3 linked regions of the Callithrix jacchus genome follow. The protein of the gene in region 1 interacts with the protein of each later gene in a pairwise test. Links are inferred from orthologs where the notes say so. Each region holds a gene or a part of one and is shown in the gene's direction. Other genes may lie near its edges.

Region 1 (3,995 bases):
TTCTTATTCCCATCCACCCTCCCATCCCGCACCAATACCCCCATTCTCTCAAGCTCCTACCAACCTCATAAACCCATTCCGCCACCCCAATACCCCCACCCCCAACCACGCCGGATCCGGTTCCACCCAGTCACGCCCAGATGTGACGCCACTGACTTGCGCATGGGCGGCGGGTTAGAGAGAAGCGCGGTTCTTGGTCTGACCAGCAGCTCGGGATTGGGGGAGGCAAGCGGGCAAGGCACTGTTAGGAGGAATGCTGAGACGCTGAGGGAGGACTCAGGAGCTCCCCACGCGAGATAGATGACGCCAAATAATCCATTACAACTCTGCTGCCAGCTCTGGGCCACCCGTGGCTGGACTTCTGAGTGGGGGATGGGCACCACGGCCACTGTGGTTGGAGTCACAGGGGTCTCGGGACTCAAAGGGCTTGGCGTAGTCAGTGCAAGATTGGTGGGGATAGGCTCTGCCATGAATTAACTGCAGGATCCCAGGAGAGGGCTCTGAGTCCCCCATTCCGTCTCCATTCCCCAACCCATTTTTATTCCCATCCACCCTCCCATCCCGCACCAGTAACCCCATTCTCTCCAGCCCCTACCAACGTCATAATCCCATTCCCCCACCCGCAACCACGCAGCATCCGGTTCCACCCAGGTGCCCGGATGTGACGCCACTGACTTGCGCATGGAGGGTGGATTAGAGAGAAGCGTGGTTCTTGGTCCGACCAGCAGCTCGGGGTTGACGGAGAGAAGCGGGCAAGGCGCTGTTAGGAAGCAAGGCGAGACGCTGAGGGAGGACTCAGTAGCTCCCCACCTTAGATAGAGGACCCCAAATAATCCCTTACCACTCCTGCTGGCTGCCCTGGGCCACCCGTGGGTGGACTTCTGTGTGGGGGAGGGGACCAGTCAGAGTGCCGTTTAAGCCACAGGGGACTCGGGACTCAAAGGGTTTGGCGTGGTCAATGCAAGACTGGTGGGGGTAGGCTCGGCCAGGAATTAACTTCAGGATCTTAGGAGAGGGCTCCGAGTCCCCCATTCTGTCCCCATTCCCCAACCCATTCTTATTCCCATCCACCCTCCCATCCCGCACCAGTACCCCCATTCTCTCCAGCCCCTACTAACCTCATAATCCCATTTCTCCCACCCCCAACCACGCAGCATCCGGTTCCACCCAGGTGCCCGGATGTGACGCCACTGACTTGCGCATGGGGGGTGGATTAGAGAGAAGCGTGGTTCTTGGTCCGACCAGCAGCTCGGGGTTGACGGAGAGAAGCAGGTAAGGCTCTGTTAAGAAGCAAGGCGAGACGCTGAGGGAGGACTCAGTAGCTCCCCACCTTAGATAGAGGACCCCAAATAATCCCTTACCACTCCTGCTGGCTGCCCTGGGCCACCCGTGGGTGGACTTCTGCGTGGGGGAGGGGACCAGTCAGAGTGCCGTTTAAGCCACAGGGGACTCGGGACTCAAAGGGTTTGGCTTGGTCAATGCAAGACTGGTGGGGGTAGGCTCGGCCAGGAATTAACTTCAGGATCTTAGGAGAGGGCTCCGAGTCCCCCATTCTGTCCCCATTCCCCAACCCATTCTTATTCCCATCCACCCTCCCATCCCGCACCAGTACCCCCATTCTCTCCAGCCCCTACTAACCTCATAATCCCATTCCCCCACCCCCAACCACGCAGCATCCGGTTCCACCCAGGTGCCCGGATGTGACGCCACTGACTTGCGCATGGGGGGTGGATTAGAGAGAAGCGTGGTTCTTGGTCCGACCAGCAGCTCGGGGTTGACGGAGAGAAGCGGGTAAGGCTCTGTTAAGAAGCAAGGCGAGACGCTGAGGGAGGACTCAGTAGCTCCCCACCTTAGATAGAGGACCCCAAATAATCCCTTACCACTCCTGCTGGCTGCCCTGGGCCACCCGTGGGTGGACTTCTGCGTGGGGGAGGGGACCAGTCAGAGTGCCGTTTAAGCCACAGGGGACTCGGGACTCAAAGGGTTTGGCTTGGTCAATGCAAGACTGGTGGGGGTAGGCTCGGCCAGGAATTAACTTCAGGATCTTAGGAGAGGGCTCCGAGTCCCCCATTCTGTCCCCATTCCCCAACCCATTCTTATTCCCATCCACCCTCCCATCCCGCACCAGTACCCCCATTCTCTCCAGCCCCTACTAACCTCATAATCCCATTCCCCCACCCCCAACCACGCAGCATCCGGTTCCACCCAGGTGCCCGGATGTGACGCCACTGACTTGCGCATGGGGGGTGGATTAGAGAGAAGCGTGGTTCTTGGTCCGACCAGCAGCTCGGGGTTGACGGAGAGAAGCGGGTAAGGCTCTGTTAAGAAGCAAGGCGAGACGCTGAGGGAGGACTCAGTAGCTCCCCACCTTAGATAGAGGACCCCAAATAATCCCTTACCACTCCTGCTGGCTGCCCTGGGCCACCCGTGGGTGGACTTCTGCGTGGGGGAGGGGACCAGTCAGAGTGCCGTTTAAGCCACAGGGGACTCGGGACTCAAAGGGTTTGGCGTGGTCAATGCAAGACTGGTGGGGGTAGGCTCGGCCAGGAATTAACTTCAGGATCTTAGGAGAGGGCTCCGAGTCCCCCATTCTGTCCCCATTCCCCAACCCATTCTTATTCCCATCCACTCTCCCATCCCGCACCAGTACCCCCATTCTCTCCAGCCCCTACCAACGTCATAATCCCATTCCCCCACCCCCAACCACGCAGCATCCGGTTCCAGCCAGTCACACCCAGGTGCCCGGATGTGACGCCACTGACTTGCGCGTGGGGGGCGGGTTAGAGAGAAGCGCGGTTCTAGGTCAGACCAGCAGCTCGGGATTGACGGAGGGAAGCGGGCAAGGCTCTGTTAGGAGGTAAGTTGAGACGCTGAGGGAGGAAGCAGGAGGTCCCCTCCCCAGATAGAGGACCCCAAGTAATACATTAGCACTATTGCTGCCAGCTCTGGGCCACCGTGGGTGGACTTCTGAGTGGGGGAGGGGCACCACCCCCATTGAAGCCACAGGGGACTCGGGACTCAAAGAGCTTGGCATGGTAAATGCAAGACTGGTGGGGGTAGTCTTTGCCAGGAATCAACGTGGGGATCCGAGGAGAGAGCTCAGAGTCCCACATCCGTCCCCATCCCCCAACCCATTCTTATTCCTATCCACCTTCCCATCCCGCACCAGTACCCTTATCCTCTCCAGCCCCTACCAACCTCATAATCCCAATCCCCCACCCCCAACCACGCAGCATCCGGTTCCACCCAGTCACACCCAGGTGCCCGGATGTGACGTCACTGACTTGCGCGTGGGGGGCGGGTTAGAGAGAAGCGCGGTTCTTGGTCTCACCAGCAGCTTGGGATTGGGGGAGGGAAGCGGGCAAGGCTCTGTTAGGAGGCAAGGTGAGACGCTGAGGGAGGGACGCAAGAGGTTCCCGTTCCAGATAGACGACCCCAAATAATCCATTAGCACTCCCTCTGCCAGCTCTGGGCTACCTGTGGGTGGACTTCTGAGTGGGGAGGGGCACCAACCCCACTGCCGTTTAACCCACAGGGGACTCGGGAGTCAGTGTTTGGGTTGGTCAATGCAAGACCGGTGGGGGTAGGCTCTGCCAGGAATTAACGTGGGGATCCCAGGAGAGGGTTGAGCCTCCCCCATTTCCAACCGCATCCACAGCCCATTCTTATTCCCATCCACCCTCCCATTCCCCACCAGTACCCATATTCTCTTCAGCCCCTACCAACCTCATAATTCCAATTCCCCAACCCAACACAGACGCCCATCCACGCAGCATCCAGTTTCACCCCGTCACACCCAAGTGCCCGGATGTGATGCTACGGGCTTGCACACGGAGCGGGGGTGTTAGAGAGAAGCGCGGTTCTTGGTATGACCAGCAGCTTGAGATTGGCAGAGAGAAGCTGGCAAAGTTCTGTTAGGAGGCAAGGTGAGATGCTGAGGGAGGACTCAGGAGGTCCTTACCCCAGATTGATGACCCCAAATTGTCCCGTACGAT
Region 2 (3,936 bases), on another chromosome or scaffold:
GATCTTTTCTAGTGAGGCAGTTTTGTTCCTTCACATAGGGAGACCTCCCTGGAAAGCGAAGTCAAGCAGGTGGATCGCGAGGTTGGCCCCAGCGGGTCAGGAAAGCAACTGTCTGCTGAAAAGCCAACTCTGATCCTTAAGATTAACGAGTAGCGGAACCACCACGTTGGGAGTGCAGCCCCCTCTTTCCGCCTCACGGATTCAGCTTGGAAGTGCGGGGGTTTGTGGGGGGCGGTTAGGGAATGATAGCTGCCCCGTGGAGGATGCCCAGGGCTGGGTCACGAGCTGGCATGAGTCAGCCCTATTCTGTAAGTCCTAGTTATGAGGCTGCCGGTCTCGCGCCGTGCCCAGTCCCACTCAGCCTTCAATCTTCCGGCCGGGCCCCCGCTGGGCGCCCTTGAGGGAACCGCGCCACCGCAAGGGCGGCGCGGAGGCTGCAAGGGGCGCCCGGCCGGCTCGTGAACGTGGTGGAATCCAGACGGGGCGCACCGATCTCCCCTCCCGTCGCGGGACTCTCCCTGCCCCCGGGCTCTGGGCTGGGATTGGTGAGACGGATGACGGGGTGATCGGACGCCGCCAGCCACCGCGTCCCCAAGAGCCGGGGCCTCGGGCTCAGCTAAAGGCCCCAGAGTCACACAAGCGCCCCATAAACGTCTGCTGAGTGAACGAAGGCGCCCCATCTATCAGAGGACTGCTCGGCGATCCCACAGCATGTCCAGGTCGCACTCGGCCGGCTAAACCTCCCGGACGCGGGAGCAGACCCCCAGGATTGCGCCCCTGCCAGAAGGCTGTTTACTTAGGTTCCGCTAAGGAGGCGGGGTGGGGATGGCACAAGCCGATTGGTTATGCAAATTATGGAGCCAATTCCGGTCTATGGTCCAGGAGACTACAAGTTCCAGAATAAATCCTTCCTCCAGCATAGGGAGAGGTCGAGGTTTCCGGAGAGTTGCCTGCTGGGAATTGTAGTCTTCATCTTGTTTGTTACGCAGGCGGAACGGGGGAAGGGAGAGGGAGTAAACTATTACCACGTGACGCTCGGGTCAGGTGGTTGGGCCAGCCTCCGCGCTGGAGCTGTGATTGGCTGACTCTAATAACAAGACGCCACTAGGGGCGGGCCTAAGACGAGCGCAAGCGCACTGCCTTGTGAGTCTCGGGACCCCTGTCGGAGAGACTATGGCGCTCAACAAGAATCACTCGGAGGGCGGTGGAGTGATCGTCAACAACACCGAAAGGTGAAAACACTGCGGAAGGATCCTGGAGGACCAAAGTTCCGGTGTCGAGGAAGTGGGCGGCGGGCGGCGGGCGGCGGGGAATAAGCCCCTGAAGAGGGAGCGCTGATGGAGTGAGGTTGGAGGGGAACGGCTGGGGGCGGGGTTGAAGGAAGGTGGGTGGGCCGTGGGGGGAGGGCCGGGAGATTGCTGTCAGCTGGGAATTGGGGGTGGGACGACCGGTGGGGCCTAGGGTGATTCTTGAAACCCCTTCCCAGAGTTGTGAGTTTAGTAGCTGGGAGGATCCCCAAACAAAAATAATTGTCATTTATTGAACGTCTACAACGTTACTACGTGTCAGACTCTGCGCCTTTTCTACCTTGTTTAATAAAAATTCTGTGCGGTACAATCTACTACTGTCCACATTTCACAGGTAGGTAAAGTGGGGCACAGAAAGGTTAAGTAACTTGCCCGAAATCACAACTCTGTAAGTAACAGAGATGGCAATTCCAGGAAAGGAGTCTTGACTCCAAAGTTAATAGGATTAACTACCATCATACAGGCTTCCAGTATGTTCCAGAACCGATCAGGTTCCAGGTAAGAAACTGAGGCCCCAGAGGTGAAATTAAACAGGTGACGTTGATCAGATGTCTGACAGTTCCTGGCACTGTGTGGGTCCGTAAAGTCAGTCCCTTGCCTCTTCTCTTGAATGCCTGTTGGTTTGAGTCACCCCTGAAGGCAGAGGTCTCCTAATTCAAGGTTCTTTCTACTCCGCCCTCCCCACCCCTTGCTCATTGCATTCTGTCTCTCCTCCAACCTCTGGGCTCCTCAAATGGCTTCTCTCTCCTTTTGTTCCTTGAGTATTGAAAATCAGACCGTTCTGTGATTCCATGGATAGAAAAGGAAAAAAAAAAGTAAAGAAAATCAAACCAGCCTGGGTTGAACTATGCCAACCCTGAAATACCTCTTGAAGGAGCTTAGGAGGCATCTGCATCCCCAAAGGGGACATCAGAGCCCTGTACCCAGCTAAGGCCAGCATCCAGGTGCCCTGTGAGTTGGGAATGTTTGATGAGTCAGAGGAAAATGCCTAGAGTGACCCAGACCACAGGATGCTCACTTTCCGTCCATTTTACCTGCTCAGAGTGTGATGGGCGCAGCCTGTTTCTGGTAATTCCTTCTTTTCTCTGAGAGGTACTTCTCTTTTTTTTAATACCAGTGGTTTCCCACTTACCCTTCCCCTATCAGAGAAAGTTGTGATATGTGGGGGGAGGCAGAAGACAAACAGAACTGTGTGAATCTTTTTATCCTGTAATCAGAGACACCTCACATTGGCTTGTTGCATCTCTGTGTGAGTCAGTTCCCAGGCCCAGCCAGTTTTTCATACCATTTGGCAACATCTCTAGGGACTGTTGTTCTTTCTGTCTCTGTGGAACTTTCTGAGACAAGACTATCCATCTTGCTGGGCCTTCTACCTGGCTTAGAGCTCAGTCTTGCTAAATAAGGCGTGCCTTGTTTTAGAAAGTGCTTCAGCCTCCTGTCTGAATAAGTTGTATCTATAACAATTGAAGTTTAAATCCAGCATTCAAATTTTGATAATTAGGCCCAGCATGGTGGCTCACACCTGTAATCCCATCACTTTGGGAGGCCAAGACAGGTGGATCACCTGAGGTCAGGAGTTTAAGACCAGCATGACCAACATGGTGAAACCCTGTTTCTATTAAATACAAAAAAGTTGGCCAGGCATGGTGCTGCATGCCTGTAATCCCAGCTACTTGGGAGGTGGAGGCAGGAAGATCTCTTGAACCCAGGAGGTGGAGGTTGCAGTGAGCTGAGATCGTGCCACTGCACTCCAGCCTGGGCGACAAGAGTGAAACTCCATCTCAAAATTAAAAAATTGATAAATAGTGAACTTTATTCTTCAAGTCGTGAACTCCTTTGAGAATGATGAAAACTGAACTCTCCTCCCAGAAAATGCACATGTGACGTACACGATCATCTCAAGGGCTTCATGGACAGACTTTCCGGCAGAACCAGCTAAAAACCCAGGTTTAAATGAACCCTGAAGGTGGTCCTATTGTGATGTGTACAGTTATCTCTTAGACGTGTTTATATATTAGGCTTGAAAAGCAAGCCAATAAAAACAACATCCATCACAAGGACTTAAAAGAAAATAGAAGAGTTAAGCCAGCTCTTCTAACCTGCTTAGGGGATGATGGCCTCTCCAGAGCCCTGCGGCTCTGCTACAATGGTGATCGTTTGGGGCTGTGCAAGCAGGCTTTGGGAAATTTTATAGAACCCCAACCTGCTCATTTCTTCCATGGCTAGAGTAATGGGTTTTTTTGTTTGTTTGTTTTTAGTTTTTGTTTTTTTGTAGAGATGGGGTCTCACCATGTTAGCCAGTCTGGCCTCAAACTCCTGGGCTCAGGCGATCCACCCGCCTCAGGTTCCTGAAGTGCTGGGATTACAGGTGTGAGCCCCTGTGCCTGGCCCTGTGATTGGTTTTAATGCAGCACTGTTGAGATGGTTACGAGAGCTGATGTGCTGGACAGCTGCTTGGGAGAAAGGCCCAGTGTCTGGGTGATACCACATCTCCATACTGTCTGACCAAGGCTTTTCCTCTTTTCTCACCACAGCATCCTGATGTCCTATGATCATGTGGAACTCACATTCAATGACATGAAGAACGTGCCAGAAGCCTTCAAAGGGACCAAGAAAGGCACCGTCTACC
Region 3 (3,990 bases), on another chromosome or scaffold:
CCTTTTTTTGAGGCTTAACTGTCACTTTATCTTTCTTTGCAGAATGCACAGCCCAAAGATGCCACTATTAACTGGTTTCTCTCTGTCTTGCCCGACAAAGTGGATCCCCAGGTCCCAGTCAAGTGCATTGTATTCAACAGCTCCTAGATAAGGTGCATGGGCTGGGGTGGGGCGGGGGGCGGTCAGGGACCAAAACAGGGCCAGATCGTGGGGGCCTCCAATGCCCCACATTGAATTGGGACTTTATCACGTAAGCTCTGAGCAGACAGGGAAGGTTAGTTTTGTGTTTGTTTTGTTTTGGGCAAAATCTCTCTCAGTGGCCCAAGCTGGAATGCAATGGCTTCATCACAGCTGACTACAGCCTGGACCTCCTGGGTTCAAGCAATCCTCCCGCCTCAGCCTTCCAAGTAGCTGAGACTATACAGGCACGGGCCACAACTCTCACCTAATTTATTTATTTATTATTTTTTTGACACCAAGTTTTGCTTTTGTTGCCCAGGCTGGAGTGCGATGGCTTGATCTCAGCTCACCACAGCCTCCAACTTCCGGGTTCAAGCGATTCTCCTCGCTTCATCCTCCCAAGTAGCTGGGATTACAGGCATGTGCCACCACGCCCGGCTAATTTTGTATTTTTGGTAGAGACGGGGTTTCTCCGTGTTGGTCAGGCTGGTCTCGAGCTCCCTACCTCAGGTGATCCACTCGCCTCGGCCTCCCAAAATGCTGGAATTACAGGCGTGAGCCATCGCGCCCGGCAACAATTAAAAAAAAAAAAAAATTTATGGAAAACATGGTTTTGCCATGTTGCCCAGGGTGGTCTCCAACTTCAGTCAAGCAATCCTCCCACCCGATTCCCCGAAAGTGCTGGGATTGCAGGCGTGAGCCACCGCGCCCAGCTTAGGTTGAGCAGCGAACAGGTCAGGGCCCAGTACTTTCTCTGCGAGGTTCAGTCGGCCTGTCCCTCTCCCATCAACGTTTGTCACCGTTTATGGAGCCCCACGGAAGGCGCCAGGCAAGGCACTGTAGCCAATCTAGAAGCGCGCTCGTCGCCCTGGCAACGTAGTCCGGCAGAACCACAGAGACGCGGCTCCGGCGTACAGAGCGTCCGCCCTGGGCCGCGAGGCACCGAGCCGTAGAGCGGCACGCCGGGCTGATTGTCACGTGGCTGGTGTCGGAGAGGCGGGACTTCCGGCGGCCCGGTATTTTTTTTCCGGTGGTTGGTCCTGGGCGGCCCCTCCCCGACTGGGCCCCGTGCCCCCCGCCCCTGCGGCCCCCAGCCGCCGGGCCAGCCGCCACCATGAAGAAATTCTTTCAGGAGTTCAAGGCCGACATCAAGTTCAAGAGCGCGGGACCCGGTCAGAAGCTCACGGACTCCGTGGGGTGCGTGAGGATCGCTGGGGCTTGAGGCCCTGAGGGGCGGGGACGGCCGGGGAGAGAGGTCTGGGGCCTCGAGGTGCGCGGGAGATCGGAGGGCGAGGGGCTGAAAGCGGCGGCGGCGAATGAGGGAAACGGGAGAGGTGCCGGGGGCGGGGCAAGTGGGGCCTAGGTGGGCGTCGTGGGCGTCAGGGGGAGGGGAGAGCGGAGAGCGGCCTGGGGGCGGGGCAGGAGGGCGTGTGGGAGGGACCCGGGGGCGGGTCGGGAAGAGGCGGGGGAAGGGGCCAGGAGGGTAGTTGTCAGTGGTCGGGCCTCGGAGGCTGTGGCGGGGGTCTAGGGCGACGGGGCTGCAGCAAGTTGGGAGTCAGTGGAGCGACCCTGGGGGAAAAAAGGGATGATGAGTCCGGAGGCGGGTGGTGAGGGAGAGGTCTGGGGACCCGGCTGGTTCTGAAGCGGCCCGGATGATTTGGGGGAATTTGGGTGACCAGGGATGGGAGCTGAGCGTGGAGGAGGACACACACTGTGGGGCATCCATGGGAAGAGGGGATGTGGGCTTGGGATCTGGAGCACGTGGGAGGTTGACGACAGACTAGGAAGTCTGGAAGGCCAGGGAAGTGGTGGTGGGCAGAGTCGTCAGTGACCTGGGAGGTCCCTGCGAATTGGGAGTGAAGGGCTGAGAACGGTGTGCGAGGAGACTGGAGGTGAAGGACTGACAGATGGTGGTGGGAGGGGAGGGAAAGGAGGTAGCTGCCAGGCCTACTTCTGGATTGTCTAGGGAAGACTTCGAGAGAAGGGCCTGGGCAGGGCTAAGCCAGCTGGGATGGCACATGGAAGGTAGGGGAAGAGGTGGAACCGGGGACAGTGTGAGGCTGAGGGCTGCTGGGTTGAGAATAGGGAACCTGGAGAGCTGGGGCCGCTGCAGGGAGCTGGCTGGCCAGGGAGTGGTGGGGACCGACGGAGAGTGAAGGGGAAGGAGGTCAGCCAGGCTGCCAGGGCAGGGGTCTATAAGCAATAATGGAAGGGATTGTGAAGAGGTGGGGCTGGGAAGGGGTAGGAGGAGATGCAGGGAGGTGGCAGGAAGTGCGGGTCAGGGAATCACGGGCAGTGGGGTGGTGATGGAGGGAGGGCCATAGTGAGGACGTTGGGGTTCCTGGGGGAGAGGCTGAGCAGGAAAGCAAAGGAGGGAGAGGGGTCAGGGACAGAGGGGTCAGGGAGAGAGGTGGGCAAATGGGGGGAGCCCTTCATTGATTCAACCAATAGTGGGTGAACGGGGTACTAGAGCCACTGGGACTGGGCGTGACAGGAAGGATCCAGGGTGTGAGGGCGATGGCTGGATCAGCCCAGAGCCCAGGCATAGGGGGGAAGATTGGAGCGGAGGGGCGGGCGGGAAGGGACGGGAAGGAAAGGAAAGGCGTGCAGAGGTCCCTTTTGGAGTGATACTCCAGGGTGTGTGGGGCGGGTGGGCACCAAGTCCTGTTTTGGGCTGCAGTGGCGGACAGGACAAGGCGGCTGCTTTCCCAGGGCTCACCACCTAGTGGGAGCCGATTGGTAAATAAACCAACAAGCCTGGGATGAGAGCTCAGGCAGTGCCCAGGGCCTCGAAATAGGGTGAGCAGGGACCGCCAGGTGGTCCGGGAAGACCTCTGCCAGGACAGCGAGACTTCAGCTGTGAGGAAATCAGCCCCCTCCTTCTCTCCCTGTGGTAGCCCTAGCCCTTTCCAGATCCCCTGACCTCCTCCCACCCCCCAGGAGAACATTCTGGGCAGAAGGCGCAGACAGTGCAGGGCCGTACAACGGGGAGCAGTTGGGGTGTGGGAAGAACGACAGGGAGCCCAGGAGAGATGGGGCCAGGCCAGGAAGGGCTCTCTGGGCCGAGGGAGGCCTTAGGATTTTGCAGTGGGAGGACATTATGCAGTGGAGTGACGCTGACGTTCCCTGAATGAGGTTCCAGAAGGGTCCCTGTGACTGCCCGGGGGAGCAGGGCCCACAGCCGGTTGGGGTGAGGCACCCTGGGAAATGCTGTTTTGTTGGAAAGACCTAGATATGGGATGGGGCCAGGGTGGGTCTTCATGAGTCATCTCTTCCACCCAATCTGCTCAGCTGCGGGAGGACGGGATAGGCAGGGGTGGGCACGAAGCAGGTTCCGGAAGCCTCCAGAGGAGGAGGGAGGGCTTCCCGGGAATCTGAGCAGAGCCAGAGGAGTATAGGGCTTGAACTGAGAGCCTGGTCTCCTGGAAGTTTTTACAGATCTATAGCATGGAAAGTGACAGCGCCTGAATTCACGGGAGGGGCCTGAGGAGATGGGCGAGACAGACGCATCCGAGCAGCTGGGAGAGAGGGCTGCTCTGCCAGGTCACTGTGCTCAGAGGATTACGGAATCCTCCTTGGCAGAGGGCTCCACAGGGCAGGGCCGTGATTACCTGAGCTCTTTGTACTTGCACAGCCCTGAGCCTGGCATGGAGTCACGTGGCCAGGGCAAGGCTGGTTCTGTTGTCAGCTGACCCCAGGGTCTTGACACAAGGGTGGCGTGGCATGGGGTACATCACCTGGACTTCTCAACAACCCTCTTGGGTTTGGGAACAGGGGATGGTGAGGTCTCCCTGACAGCTTGTTAGGAGG

The links. The genes of interacting proteins can lie anywhere in the genome.
Region 2: the proteins of MAGEA4 (region 1) and WBP2 interact in a two-hybrid assay, tested with the Homo sapiens proteins (2 studies listed by BioGRID). The two-hybrid records come from large-scale screens. The link is inferred for Callithrix jacchus from reciprocal best matches to the Homo sapiens genes MAGEA4 and WBP2.
Region 3: the proteins of MAGEA4 (region 1) and UBXN6 interact in binary tests that used the Homo sapiens proteins (3 or more experiments, as listed by UniProt). The two-hybrid records come from large-scale screens. The link is inferred for Callithrix jacchus from reciprocal best matches to the Homo sapiens genes MAGEA4 and UBXN6.

What each region holds. Positions count from the first base shown.
Region 1 is NC_133524.1:148,211,907-148,215,901, forward strand, and holds the start of MAGEA4 (melanoma-associated antigen 4), read left to right. Parts: upstream 1-1,192; 5' UTR 1,193-2,239; coding exon 2,240-2,310; exon of another isoform or gene 2,311-3,926; intron 3,927-3,995. UniProt on the Homo sapiens protein: Regulates cell proliferation through the inhibition of cell cycle arrest at the G1 phase. Also negatively regulates p53-mediated apoptosis.
Region 2 is NC_133506.1:131,750,800-131,754,735, reverse strand, and holds the start of WBP2 (WW domain-binding protein 2), read left to right. Parts: upstream 1-1,133; 5' UTR 1,134-1,173; coding exon 1,174-1,232; exon of another isoform or gene 1,233-1,347; intron 1,348-3,841; coding exon 3,842-3,936. UniProt on the Homo sapiens protein: Acts as a transcriptional coactivator of estrogen and progesterone receptors (ESR1 and PGR) upon hormone activation. In presence of estrogen, binds to ESR1-responsive promoters. Synergizes with YAP1 to enhance PGR activity.
Region 3 is NC_133523.1:4,202,914-4,206,903, reverse strand, and holds the start of UBXN6 (UBX domain-containing protein 6), read left to right. Parts: upstream 1-1,187; 5' UTR 1,188-1,294; coding exon 1,295-1,377; intron 1,378-1,843; exon of another isoform or gene 1,844-2,191; coding exon of another isoform or gene 2,192-2,205; intron 2,206-3,990. UniProt on the Homo sapiens protein: May negatively regulate the ATPase activity of VCP, an ATP-driven segregase that associates with different cofactors to control a wide variety of cellular processes.